Linked DNA regions of Saccharomyces cerevisiae S288C. The gene in region 1 interacts genetically with each later gene. Each region holds a gene or a part of one and is shown in the gene's direction. Other genes may lie near its edges.

Region 1 (4,869 bases):
GCCAAGGAAACCAACCCAGGTACCGATGTGACCGTTTCCTCAGTCGAAAGTGTCTTGGCTCATTTGTAGATGCTATGTAATAGACAATAAAACCATGTTTATATAAAAAAAATTCAAAATAGAAAACGATTCTGTACAAGGAGTATTTTTTTTTTGTTCTAGTGTGTTTATATTATCCTTGGCTAAGAGGCACTGCGTATACTTCAAGGTACCCCTGTGTTTTGAAAAAAAACAACAGTAAAATAGGAACTCCGCGAGGTTCAGGAACCTGAAACAAAATCAATAAAAACATTATATGCGTTTCGAACAAAATTAAAGAAAAAGAATAAATATAGATTAAAAAAAAAAAGAAGAAATTAAAAGAATTTCTACTAAATCCCAATTGTTATATATTTGTTAAATGCCAAAAAAGTTTATAAAAAATTTAGAATGTATAAATAATAATAAACTAAGTTTACAACAACAAAGCAGCGGCACCAGCCAACAAAGCACCAGCAGCTGGCAAAGCCTTAGCAGCAGCACCAGTGTAAGAGGTGACAGAGTGAGTTGGAGCAGCAGAGGTGGTGTTCTTTGGAGCTTCAGTAGAGGTAACTGGAGCAGCAGTAGAAGTACCGTTCTTTGGGGCTTCAGTGGTCAATGGGCACCAGGTGGTGTATTGAGTGATAACGTCATCGACGGTGACGGTAGCGGTGGAAACCAAAGCTGGGGAGACAGTTTCAGAACAGACGTGGTCTTCACAAGAAGTGATGGTGACCAAAGTGGTAGATTCTTGGCTGACAGTAGCAGTGGTAACGTTAGCAGCGGCAGAAGCGACAGCGGCGACAGCGGCGATAGAAGCGACAGTAGAAAATTGCATTATTGATATAGTGTTTAAGCGAATGACAGAAGATTAATTTCTTGGTATGTTAGGAAAGAATAAAGGAGAATAAGAATAATTAGAACAATGTAGGATGGAAAGAAAGATTATCAAGCATGCCGACTTTATATACTTGAACGGAGGCAAAGGATGCAAAATTTTCTCACATTTCTTTCTGCCGTTATGTTGGAAGTAAGACTCCCATTATCGCAATACTGCAACACGAATATGCAAAATTTGCTGAGTTATCGCAGATAGTTGTTGCAAAGATAGCGGCGTAGGTGGCCGCGAAATGGGGAATTCCAAAACAAACGGTTTTTTTACTCCTGAGAAATACTTGTACGGGATAATCCAGGGCCTACCACCCACGCTTCGAGGATTGGCTTTTATTTTTTTTTTTTTGGTGGCGTTTTATTTCTTTCCCGCTTTCTGGGACTTGTGCGGAGTTTTGAGAGGGGCGCGCGGCAAAGGATTCCCAAAACGGAAATCAGACGCCAATAGCCAGCACTCAAAGCAGTTCTGGACCCATTCCGATTTTCCCATTTGGTTCTTGCGCGTGCTGATTCCGACACGCGCGTCTATAAATAGCATGAAGTATCCGCACACCGCAGCGTTAGTGAGGTGAGGGTGGCAGCAAGCTAATTCCCGCATCTGGAATCTGAACTGCCCCTTTTGGACTAACCGTGTGGTTCATGGGTGGGCGAAGTGCGCAACCTCGAAGGTTTTCTTTTGCGTGTCGGATTTTACATCCGGCGGTAGCGCATGATGCCATGGCTGGCTCCAGATACATCCTCAGGGCACCAGCATCTATAATTAGATTGGCGCAACATGGCTGGCTGCACTGCTGTCTTCACTTCTTTCTTTTTCCGGCAATGAATGATGTATGTTTTGTGGCAAAAGGGTCCGCATTGTACCTGTTTACAGTTGAGATTATCGTTTTTGGTAGCCCTTCATTACGGCATAACGTATTAAGTTTCTTTTATTTTGCTTTGCCCTGGTTTAAAAGACAATGTCGATTAAAAGTTAATTTTAATCGATTGAAGGAAATAAGAGGAATAGCGCAAGTTGTTAGGAAAGCGTTCTTTATCTCCAAGACTTTGCCCTGTATATAATTAAACACCTCAAAGCGCTTCGTCATGGATGGAGATTATTCGGCATTTTGACATACAGGAGTGCCACATGCGAAAGCGGAGTGGGCGTATTCTCTGGTTACCCTACATGGTCTGGCGGCGTTATTATACGGGAGGATCTTCGAAGGGAAGGAAGGAAAAAAAAAAAGAAAAGGCCAACGAAAAGCAAATATTATCTATCGTCGAAATTATCATACTATCTTACAATAAGAGTAGTAATTACTTTCTTGTTTGTATAGTGGAAGAGGAATTTGCGATAATAATAGCAAAAGTAACTAATCTCTAACAAGAAACCTTATTTATTTTCTCTTTCTTCTATATTGGTAAATACTAGACTCGAAAAAAAGGAACAAAGGGAAAACAGGGAAAACTACAACTATCGTATATAATAATGACCACTAACGAGGAATTCATTAGGACACAGATATTCGGTACAGTTTTCGAGATCACAAATAGATACAATGATTTAAACCCCGTTGGGATGGGGGCATTTGGGTTGGTTTGCTCAGCCACGGACACTTTGACATCTCAGCCAGTTGCCATTAAGAAAATCATGAAACCTTTTTCCACTGCAGTGCTGGCCAAAAGGACATATCGTGAACTAAAACTACTAAAACATCTAAGACACGAGAACTTGATTTGCCTTCAGGACATATTTCTTTCTCCATTGGAAGATATATATTTTGTCACGGAATTACAAGGAACAGATTTACATAGACTCTTGCAAACAAGACCCTTGGAAAAGCAATTTGTTCAGTATTTCCTATACCAAATTCTAAGGGGTTTAAAATACGTTCACTCCGCGGGCGTCATTCATAGAGATTTGAAACCGAGCAACATTCTGATTAATGAAAACTGTGATTTGAAGATTTGCGATTTCGGTCTAGCAAGAATTCAAGACCCTCAAATGACAGGCTATGTTTCCACTAGATACTACAGGGCACCTGAAATCATGCTAACGTGGCAAAAATATGACGTCGAGGTCGACATTTGGTCCGCTGGTTGTATTTTTGCCGAAATGATTGAAGGTAAGCCTTTGTTCCCTGGGAAAGATCATGTTCACCAATTTTCGATCATCACTGACTTGTTGGGATCTCCGCCAAAGGATGTGATAAATACTATTTGTTCCGAAAATACTCTAAAATTTGTTACTTCGTTACCACACAGAGATCCAATTCCATTTTCTGAAAGATTTAAAACAGTCGAACCTGATGCCGTAGACCTTTTGGAAAAAATGCTGGTTTTTGATCCTAAGAAGAGAATCACTGCGGCGGATGCCTTGGCTCATCCTTATTCGGCTCCTTACCACGATCCAACGGATGAACCAGTAGCCGATGCCAAGTTCGATTGGCACTTTAATGACGCTGATCTGCCTGTCGATACCTGGCGTGTTATGATGTACTCAGAAATCCTAGACTTCCATAAGATTGGTGGCAGTGATGGACAGATTGATATATCTGCCACGTTTGATGACCAAGTTGCTGCAGCCACCGCTGCCGCGGCGCAGGCACAGGCTCAGGCTCAGGCTCAAGTTCAGTTAAACATGGCTGCGCATTCGCATAATGGCGCTGGCACTACTGGAAATGATCACTCAGATATAGCTGGTGGAAACAAAGTCAGCGATCATGTAGCTGCAAATGACACCATTACGGACTACGGTAACCAGGCCATACAGTACGCTAATGAGTTCCAACAGTAAACGTGTTTTTTTAATGTCCCTAACCACTCATTCTTACTTCTTTTTGATGTTTCTTTTTTTTATGGTACTCATAAAAGTATTTACGTATATAGTTGTATAGAGGAAACAAAAAAAAAAAGATAAAACTCAATTACAAAGTAAAGTGGACGTATTTCGATCATGATTTTTTTCTGTTTTAACCGCATTGGATTTTCTTGTAAAACTGGAAGAAAAAGGAAACTAAAAAGTCAAGAAAGACCTTTTTAAGACTCCAAGAACCGTCACTTATGGCGTATTGTTTGTTTATCAGCACTTCTATCTTCGATAAAGGTTTGTCTGTCTTATATTGTTTACATTTCAAGTCTAATTCTGTGCTTTTACCGAAGAGGAATTTTCATAAATACGGAGAAAATATAAAAAAAAAGTAAATACAGAAAATAGAACAGTTGAAGCAGAAAAAGAGAACTTGCTAAATAGCTGTCTCACCCAGACAAGCGTATACTTACCACATTTAGTCTTTTGCAATCTCATTCTTGTTGAAGATAACTATTACATTCACGGACTGTGGCAGAAACTTCTCCTTAAGAAATTAGGAACTCATAAAAGGAATCAGCAGCTCTATGTAATATCAAAATCTTTTCTATTTTTTGTATTTATGCTCTCATTCATTAATTCTAACGGAGCTATTTATTATAAACAGTGAAGATATAAACCATATGTCTAATAGAACAAATTTCAAAAAGTCTTCAATTTCGTGGATGTGGGAATGCATTTATTAAAAATAATGAATGGCAACATACGACACCAAAATAGGAACACTTTCAGTACTATACAGAACTACGGATCTTAGTTTATTGAGTTTTGAGAAATAGGTTGATATGGAGACAATTTCTTAGCGTTATTAGAGGTTATAAGTATACAGAATAACCTACGAGTAGTCCTCAAGAAGATAAGACTCTGCAAAAGGTATCAATAATTTTACTTAATCATAGCACTATTTCTTCTTTCGCTTTGTACAGCAGCTCATATATTCCATTACATTATCAATTCTTACATCGTAGCATAAAACACTAAGATTCAAAAATAGAAAACTGTTGTATCTCAAAATGAGATACGTCAGTATGACAATACGTCATCCTAAACGTTCATAAAACACATATGAAACAACCTTATAACAAAACGAACAACATGAGACAAAACCCGTC
Region 2 (4,080 bases), on another chromosome or scaffold:
CAGTAAATAAAGTCGAAGAAAGAATCTCCAAAATAAAAGAGAGACCAGTGTCGTTAAGAGATATAACTGAAGAACTGACAAAGATCTCAAATAGTGCAGGACTAACCGACAATGATGCCATTACATTAGCCAGAACTCTTAGTATGGCTGGTTCATATTCAGATAAAAAAGATCAACCACAACCGGAAGGGCATTATGATGAAGGAGATATTGGTTTTTCAACTTCACAAGCGAATACTTTGGATGATGGTGAATTTGCCTCCAATATGCCCATCAATAATACCATGACATGGCCTGAACGATCGTCACTGAGAAGGAGTAGATTCAACACTTATCGAATCAGGTCACAAGAGCAAGAAAAAGAAGTAGAACAAAGTGTGGATGAAATGAAAAACGACGACGAAGAACGTCTAAAATTGACCAAGAATACAATAAAGGTCGAAATAGATCCGCACAAATCCCCTTTTAGACAGCAAGATGAGGATTCTGAGAATATGAGTTCGCCTGGGTCAATTGGTGATTTTCAAGACATTTATAATCATTACAGACAGTCTAGTGGCGAGTGGGAACAAGAAATGGGAATAGAGAAAGAAGCCGAAGAGGTACCCGTCAAGGTTCGAAATGACACAGTAGAACAAGACTTAGAGTTAAGAGAGGGAACAACAGACATGGTAAAGCCAAGCGCAACGGATGACAACAAAGAAACGAAGCGACATCGTCGAAGAAACGGATGGACATGGTTGAACAATAAAATGAGCAGAGAAGACGATAACGAAGAAAACCAAGGGGACGATGAAAATGAAGAAAACGTGGATTCACAAAGAATGGAGCTCGACAATTCCAAAAAACATTATATTTCTCTATTTAATGGCGGTGAGAAGACGGAGGTGTCAAATAAAGAAGAAATGAACAATTCAAGTACTTCCACCGCCACATCACAGACAAGACAGAAAATCGAGAAAACTTTTGCGAACCTATTCAGAAGAAAGCCACACCACAAGCATGATGCATCATCATCACCCTCGTCGTCACCATCATCGTCACCATCAATACCAAATAACGATGCCGTGCACGTTCGCGTGAGGAAAAGCAAAAAGCTTGGTAACAAAAGTGGAAGGGAGCCGGTTGAACCCATTGTGTTGCGCAATCGCCCTCGTCCTCACCGTCACCATCACAGCCGTCATGGTTCCCAAAAAATAAGCGTAAAAACCCTTAAAGATTCTCAGCCGCAGCAGCAGATACCATTACAACCACAATTGGAAGGCGCAATAGAGATAGAAAAGAAAGAGGAAAGCGATTCCGAGAGCTTGCCCCAACTACAGCCGGCCGTTAGTGTAAGTAGTACCAAAAGTAACTCTAGAGACAGAGAAGAAGAGGAGGCAAAGAAAAAGAACAAGAAGAGGAGCAATACGACAGAAATTTCCAACCAACAACACTCCAAACACGTCCAAAAGGAGAATACCGATGAGCAAAAAGCTCAACTACAAGCTCCAGCTCAAGAACAAGTCCAAACTTCAGTCCCAGTTCAAGCTTCAGCCCCAGTCCAAAATTCAGCCCCAGTCCAAACTTCAGCCCCAGTTGAAGCTTCAGCTCAAACTCAGGCTCCAGCGGCACCACCATTGAAACATACCTCCATATTGCCCCCAAGAAAGCTTACATTTGCAGACGTCAAAAAACCTGACAAACCAAACTCCCCGGTTCAATTCACAGACAGTGCCTTTGGGTTCCCACTGCCTTTGCTGACAGTGTCTACGGTTATCATGTTCGACCACCGTCTACCAATTAACGTCGAAAGGGCCATATACCGGCTGAGTCACTTGAAATTGAGCAATTCGAAGAGGGGACTGCGCGAGCAGGTATTACTAAGTAACTTCATGTATGCTTATCTGAACTTGGTTAATCACACTCTGTACATGGAGCAGGTAGCCCACGACAAAGAACAACAACAACAACAACAACAACAACCCTGAAAAGGCTTCAGCGCTGCATACATAGACATATACACATCACACGTACATACACGAAAAGATAGCTTTCATGCTCACAAAGCTACGTTCCCCACAGAATATTTCCCAGGACAACAGGGAAAGTTGGACAAACACCAAACTTCTCATAATACAATAGCCGAAAACAGTCTTGCTTTTGATAAAGAGAGCTTTCTGCGGCCGGAAGAAAATGTGCCTATTCCGCGGGGCCGTTCCGCGCAGAAACTACCGCACGACGTCGGAAATATAACGGGGTTTTGCGCGGATTTACTGACGTGTGACATCTTTTCGCAGTTAATTTTTTTTTCAATTTGGAACCGTATAAGAACAGAGGTATTAGATAGTAGAAGCTATTGTGTCTATTGTCTTTGATTAGTTTTTTTTTCTATTGTTATCGTGGCAGGCACTAAAAGCGGTGGTAAGCTAAAACTAGTACGAAGATGTCGACTAATACTTCCAAGACTTTGGAACTGTTTTCAAAAAAGACGGTACAAGAACACAATACTGCCAATGACTGCTGGGTCACTTATCAAAACAGAAAGATTTATGACGTGACCAGGTTTTTGAGCGAACACCCTGGTGGTGACGAGTCCATCTTGGACTATGCTGGTAAGGACATTACTGAGATCATGAAAGACTCAGATGTGCATGAACACAGCGACTCCGCGTATGAAATCCTTGAGGACGAATATTTGATTGGTTACTTGGCAACTGACGAAGAGGCAGCGAGATTGTTGACTAACAAGAACCATAAGGTTGAAGTGCAGTTGTCAGCTGACGGTACTGAGTTTGACTCCACTACTTTTGTAAAGGAGTTGCCCGCCGAGGAGAAACTAAGTATTGCTACGGACTACAGTAACGACTACAAAAAGCATAAATTTTTGGATCTGAACCGTCCTTTGCTGATGCAGATTCTGCGTAGTGATTTCAAGAAAGATTTTTACGTTGACCAAATCCATAGACCAAGACATTACGGTAAGGGGTCTGCCCCGCTATTTGGTAATTTCTTGGAACCATTAACTAAAACAGCTTGGTGGGTTGTTCCAGTTGCTTGGTTGCCTGTAGTTGTGTACCACATGGGTGTTGCTTTGAAGAACATGAACCAGCTATTTGCATGTTTCTTGTTCTGTGTCGGTGTCTTTGTTTGGACTTTGATTGAATACGGTCTTCACCGTTTCCTATTTCATTTCGATGATTGGTTACCTGAAAGTAACATCGCATTCGCCACACATTTTCTACTACATGGTTGCCATCATTACTTGCCCATGGACAAGTACCGTTTAGTTATGCCACCTACTCTGTTCGTCATCCTTTGTGCTCCATTTTACAAGTTGGTATTTGCTCTGCTGCCACTTTATTGGGCTTACGCTGGTTTTGCTGGCGGTCTTTTCGGTTATGTCTGTTATGACGAATGTCATTTCTTCTTGCACCACTCTAAATTGCCTCCCTTCATGCGTAAGTTGAAAAAATATCACCTGGAACATCATTATAAAAACTACCAACTGGGATTTGGCGTCACATCCTGGTTTTGGGACGAAGTTTTTGGCACCTACTTAGGCCCCGATGCCCCATTGTCCAAAATGAAATATGAATAATTATTGGTCAGCCTCGTCCAAAATTGTCAACCTAGGAAAAACAACATTACGAGCAATGAAATCTTGAGCAAAGTTCTTTTCTGCGACATATTTATTTCAAATCTTTATTTATATTATTATATGTAACTACGTATATATACATACACATGGAATGGAATCATAGATGAAATCGATGAACAAGCACGTTATTTCTTAAACGAATATCCAATCGATGACGACTATACGAAAAAGCGGCCTCAAAAAAGAACCGAATTGACAGGTACATTTTTCTTTCACAGATCAGGTTGGCAAAAAAATACTAACCGTATCCTGTGTTACTGTCGTTAGAACAGGAATCAAGATGAGCACAGTGAAGTTATCTGATAGTCCCTAGACTCTCATTGACTTTTTGTAATATTAGGACACAGAATATACTAAGGGTTCTTCTCGAGAATAAATGAACACATAAGCAAATCAGAAATTCTACATACTATAAGAGTACCTCATACCTAATCATTTCT
Region 3 (4,989 bases), on another chromosome or scaffold:
GAGGATACGGAGGATGTTGGCGATTATGTCGGCGTCCCCGGCGATTTCCAATCAAAGAGCGTACTCTATCCATGCGGATCTTTGGCAAATGTATGTAGCACTTCTCCTATCGTTCAATTTGATGCTCTTTCTTTTCCAAAAGCCTTACTTGTTCTTCTTCTTCACTAGTAGTGAAGGGCTTTAGAGATGCCCAGAACCCAGACCATTTTAGACGCGTTATGAAATAAATATTGCGCTGAAAATTCAAACTTCATAATAAACAAAAATCATTAATAGTTTTGTAATTTGATTTACTGTTATGGTGATGCTATGTTAGTGTGAAATAGAACAACAGAAACGATGGGCTTGGACCAGGACAAGATAAAGAAGAGGCTTTCTCAAATAGAGATAGATATCAACCAGATGAACCAGATGATTGACGAAAATTTACAATTAGTTGAACCTGCGGAGGACGAAGCTGTCGAAGATAATGTCAAGGATACGGGTGTGGTCGACGCTGTAAAGGTGGCAGAAACGGCTCTTTTTAGTGGCAATGATGGAGCGGATAGTAACCCAGGAGATTCAGCTCAGGTTGAAGAGCACAAAACCGCACAGGTCCATATTCCCACTGAGAATGAAGCGAATAAGAGTACGGATGACCCATCCCAGCTATCGGTTACTCAACCTTTTATAGCGAAAGAGCAGATAACTCACACCGCCATTGCTATTGGTGACTCCTATAATTCATTTGTCGCAAATTCCGCTGGAAATGAAAAGGCAAAGGACTCCTGCACTGAGAACAAAGAAGATGGTACAGTCAATATAGATCAAAACAGGGGTGAAGCTGATGTTGAAATTATCGAAAATAATGATGATGAATGGGAGGATGAAAAATCGGATGTTGAAGAGGGGCGAGTAGATAAGGGAACAGAGGAAAACAGTGAGATTGAATCTTTCAAATCACCCATGCCCCAGAATAACACCTTGGGCGGTGAGAACAAGTTAGACGCTGAACTTGTATTAGACAAATTTTCTTCCGCTAATAAGGATCTAGATATACAACCGCAAACCATAGTTGTAGGAGGTGACAATGAATACAACCATGAGAGCAGCCGTTTAGCTGATCAAACACCCCATGACGATAATTCAGAGAATTGTCCCAATCGCTCTGGAGGAAGCACTCCCTTAGATTCTCAAACTAAAATTTTTATCCCTAAAAAGAATTCTAAAGAAGATGGTACCAATATAAATCACTTTAATTCAGATGGTGATGGACAGAAAAAAATGGCGAATTTCGAGACACGACGCCCTACAAATCCGTTCAGAGTTATCTCGGTGAGCAGCAATTCCAATTCAAGAAACGGAAGTCGTAAATCTTCACTAAATAAGTATGATTCGCCAGTCTCCTCTCCTATCACATCAGCGTCTGAGCTGGGCAGTATTGCCAAGCTGGAAAAAAGACATGATTATTTATCCATGAAATGCATTAAGTTACAAAAGGAAATTGACTATCTAAACAAGATGAATGCACAGGGTTCTTTATCTATGGAAGACGGAAAGAGACTACATAGAGCCGTAGTGAAGCTTCAAGAATATCTTGACAAGAAAACGAAGGAGAAATATGAGGTCGGAGTGTTATTAAGTAGACATCTGAGAAAGCAAATTGATCGTGGCGAAAATGGCCAATTTTGGATTGGAACTAAATGATTACATTACGCCAAGGGTTGTTATAAATATTTATAAATTAAGACAGATATATAAAGTTAAAATAAATACCAAAAGAACATAGACAATCGTAAGAGAATAAGAATCCTTTATCCTAGAGCCATCCATCTGTTATTTTTGATGTTGCTGACTTTTTTTCTGATAAATTCTATTATTTTAATAGTAAAGAGGTGAGTATTTCGCCTAAACGTAAACAAAACGATAATAAAAAAAAAAAAAAATGAAGACAAAATGTTCAGATAGTCAATTATATTGTAATAACATGAAACGGAACAATAACAGTACCCAGAATTCAATTTCAATGGCGTTGTGTCTTCTTTTCTCTAAGAACTTTCATAAACCAAGTCGTACTTAACCGCGCTAGCGATAACCCTGCTAACTTTGTCGCAGAGGGAAAAAAGTAGAATCGAAGGGAAAAATCACGAAAATTAACTGGGCTGAATAGAATGAATTCAGTCATACGGTGATGGTTTTCGAAACAAACTGCACATTTTTCCAGTTAAAAGGACCAAGTTTGGTTACTGATACGTGAGACTAATTTGTTCTCCAGAAACACAATAATTTGGTGCTACATTGCCAACGCTCAGGAGTGGTTTTAAGCTCAGAAAAGTTACTACCAAAGGGGTTCAACGTAAAAGTGAATTGTGTTTTCTTATCGAGAAAAACTCTTTTATTATTCAAGTGAGTTTTCCACTTATTAGATTCCTATCTTTTTACCGATCTCTATTATTTGATAAGTTCCTTAATCAATTCGTGGATTTTTATTTTTATTTCATTCTTTTCATTTCAATTTCTGCATTCCAAATACACCTGCCCAGTCTCTAGACCCTGCTTAATCATTATGTCAAGCGAGGAACGCTCGAGACAACCAAGTACTGTTTCAACTTTCGATTTAGAACCCAATCCTTTTGAACAAAGCTTCGCCTCTTCCAAGAAGGCTTTGTCACTTCCAGGCACGATCTCCCATCCGTCTCTACCAAAAGAGCTTTCACGAAACAATTCTACCTCAACGATAACACAACATTCCCAACGTTCCACTCATAGTTTGAACAGTATTCCAGAAGAAAATGGGAATTCAACCGTTACAGATAATAGTAATCATAATGACGTAAAAAAAGACTCACCTAGTTTTTTACCAGGCCAACAAAGACCTACTATAATATCTCCGCCTATTCTCACACCTGGTGGGTCGAAAAGATTACCACCTCTACTCCTTTCTCCCTCTATTTTATATCAGGCAAATTCAACTACGAATCCCAGTCAGAATTCACATTCTGTTTCAGTCTCTAATTCAAACCCTAGTGCAATAGGCGTTTCTTCTACCTCCGGATCTCTGTATCCAAACAGCTCTTCTCCTTCAGGGACTTCACTTATACGCCAGCCACGAAACTCGAACGTGACCACAAGTAATTCTGGTAACGGCTTCCCCACGAATGATTCACAAATGCCTGGCTTTTTATTAAACTTGTCCAAATCTGGGTTGACACCTAATGAGTCCAATATCAGGACCGGGTTGACACCCGGTATTCTTACGCAATCTTACAATTATCCCGTATTGCCGTCAATTAATAAAAATACTATAACAGGTAGCAAAAATGTCAACAAAAGTGTCACAGTGAATGGAAGTATTGAAAACCACCCTCATGTTAATATAATGCACCCAACTGTAAATGGTACACCACTTACGCCGGGATTGAGTTCTCTGCTAAACTTACCATCTACTGGAGTTTTGGCTAATCCAGTATTCAAATCAACACCTACAACAAATACCACAGATGGTACCGTCAACAACAGCATCAGTAATTCCAATTTTTCCCCAAATACTTCAACGAAAGCGGCTGTCAAAATGGATAATCCGGCAGAGTTCAATGCCATCGAGCACTCCGCTCATAATCACAAGGAGAATGAAAATTTAACGACTCAAATTGAGAACAATGACCAGTTCAATAACAAAACACGAAAAAGAAAGAGAAGGATGTCTAGCACAAGTTCTACTTCTAAGGCTTCAAGAAAAAATTCCATATCAAGAAAAAACTCAGCAGTTACGACTGCACCAGCACAAAAAGATGATGTTGAAAATAATAAAATTTCAAACAACGTAACACTTGATGAGAATGAAGAGCAAGAAAGAAAAAGAAAGGAGTTTTTAGAAAGAAATAGAGTAGCTGCATCTAAATTTAGAAAAAGAAAGAAAGAGTACATCAAGAAAATTGAAAATGATCTACAATTCTATGAATCTGAATATGACGATCTAACTCAGGTCATTGGGAAGCTATGCGGCATAATACCCTCAAGCTCCTCGAATTCCCAATTCAATGTGAATGTTTCAACTCCGTCATCATCATCACCACCATCTACATCTTTAATAGCATTGTTAGAGAGTAGCATTTCAAGGAGTGATTATTCAAGTGCAATGTCAGTATTATCAAACATGAAGCAATTGATATGTGAAACGAATTTTTACCGAAGGGGAGGCAAAAACCCAAGGGACGACATGGATGGCCAAGAAGACAGCTTCAATAAGGACACTAACGTTGTCAAAAGCGAAAATGCGGGCTATCCTTCCGTTAATTCAAGACCAATAATTCTAGATAAAAAATACTCACTGAACTCTGGAGCAAATATCAGCAAAAGTAACACAACTACTAATAATGTGGGAAATAGTGCACAGAATATAATCAATTCATGCTACTCTGTTACTAATCCATTGGTAATAAATGCAAATTCCGATACCCATGATACTAATAAGCATGATGTACTATCCACTCTACCTCACAATAATTGACGAGATAGCGACGGGGTTCTTAAATAGTCTTCTATCTGATGCTTTCGTACTCTTCAACCTGTCCGCTTTTCTCATTGCAAATATTCCACTATAAAGTTCCTTTTAAGAGGAAATCCCTTTTATTCTCCCGCTTTTTTCTGTATTTATGTAACTTCAAGATTTTTTTTTCTATATTTGATATAAACTTTAATAGGGTTCTTCTTTTCAGAAGTTTATCAATTGCTTAAGCCTCCTTTTGTTGATCAACAACAATAAAGGCTTTATTATCGTAAATTTTCCTACAGCATTTATTCTTCATAGAGCATACCGTTATAATTTCACCGTCTTTTCACTACGCTCATAAAGAGAGTACAGTTATACTGCTGCAACCCTAGCATGTATCAAGCTGTGCTGCTTATACCTATTTTGAAAGGGCCATTCCTTCTTTTGCCATTCCTTTTTCGTCTATTTTCCTAAATAGCTTCCTTAGCCTCACGTTTTTTTGTTCGCTTTCAAGAGAT

What was found. A genetic interaction does not mean that the proteins touch.
Region 2: mutations in HOG1 (region 1) and SCS7 together harm fitness more than expected from each alone (negative genetic interaction), as found in Saccharomyces cerevisiae (5 studies listed by BioGRID, with this or other methods).
Region 3: of HOG1 (region 1) and SKO1, a mutation in one rescues a mutant of the other (synthetic rescue), as found in Saccharomyces cerevisiae (5 studies listed by BioGRID).

What each region holds. Positions count from the first base shown.
Region 1 is NC_001144.5:369,243-374,111, forward strand, and holds HOG1 (mitogen-activated protein kinase HOG1), read left to right. Parts: upstream 1-2,377; coding exon 2,378-3,685; downstream 3,686-4,869. Other genes in the region: thioredoxin peroxidase AHP1, read left to right, coding at 1-69; CCW12 (Ccw12p), read right to left, coding at 455-856; YLR111W (uncharacterized protein), read left to right, coding at 1,149-1,481; YLR112W (uncharacterized protein), read left to right, coding at 1,549-1,968. UniProt on the Saccharomyces cerevisiae protein: Proline-directed serine/threonine-protein kinase involved in a signal transduction pathway that is activated by changes in the osmolarity of the extracellular environment.
Region 2 is NC_001145.3:809,123-813,202, reverse strand, and holds SCS7 (fatty acid alpha-hydroxylase), read left to right. Parts: upstream 1-2,425; coding exon 2,426-3,580; downstream 3,581-4,080. Other genes in the region: ZDS1 (Zds1p), read left to right, coding at 1-1,970; YMR272W-B (uncharacterized protein), read right to left, coding at 2,007-2,114. UniProt on the Saccharomyces cerevisiae protein: Ceramide hydroxylase involved in the hydroxylation of sphingolipid-associated very long chain fatty acids. Postulated to hydroxylate the very long chain fatty acid of dihydroceramides and phytoceramides at C-2.
Region 3 is NC_001146.8:318,916-323,904, reverse strand, and holds SKO1 (Sko1p), read left to right. Parts: upstream 1-2,545; coding exon 2,546-4,489; downstream 4,490-4,989. Other genes in the region: YNL165W (uncharacterized protein), read right to left, coding at 1-73; BNI5 (Bni5p), read left to right, coding at 340-1,686. UniProt on the Saccharomyces cerevisiae protein: Binds to the CRE motif 5'-TGACGTCA-3' and acts as a repressor of transcription of the SUC2 gene and most probably other genes.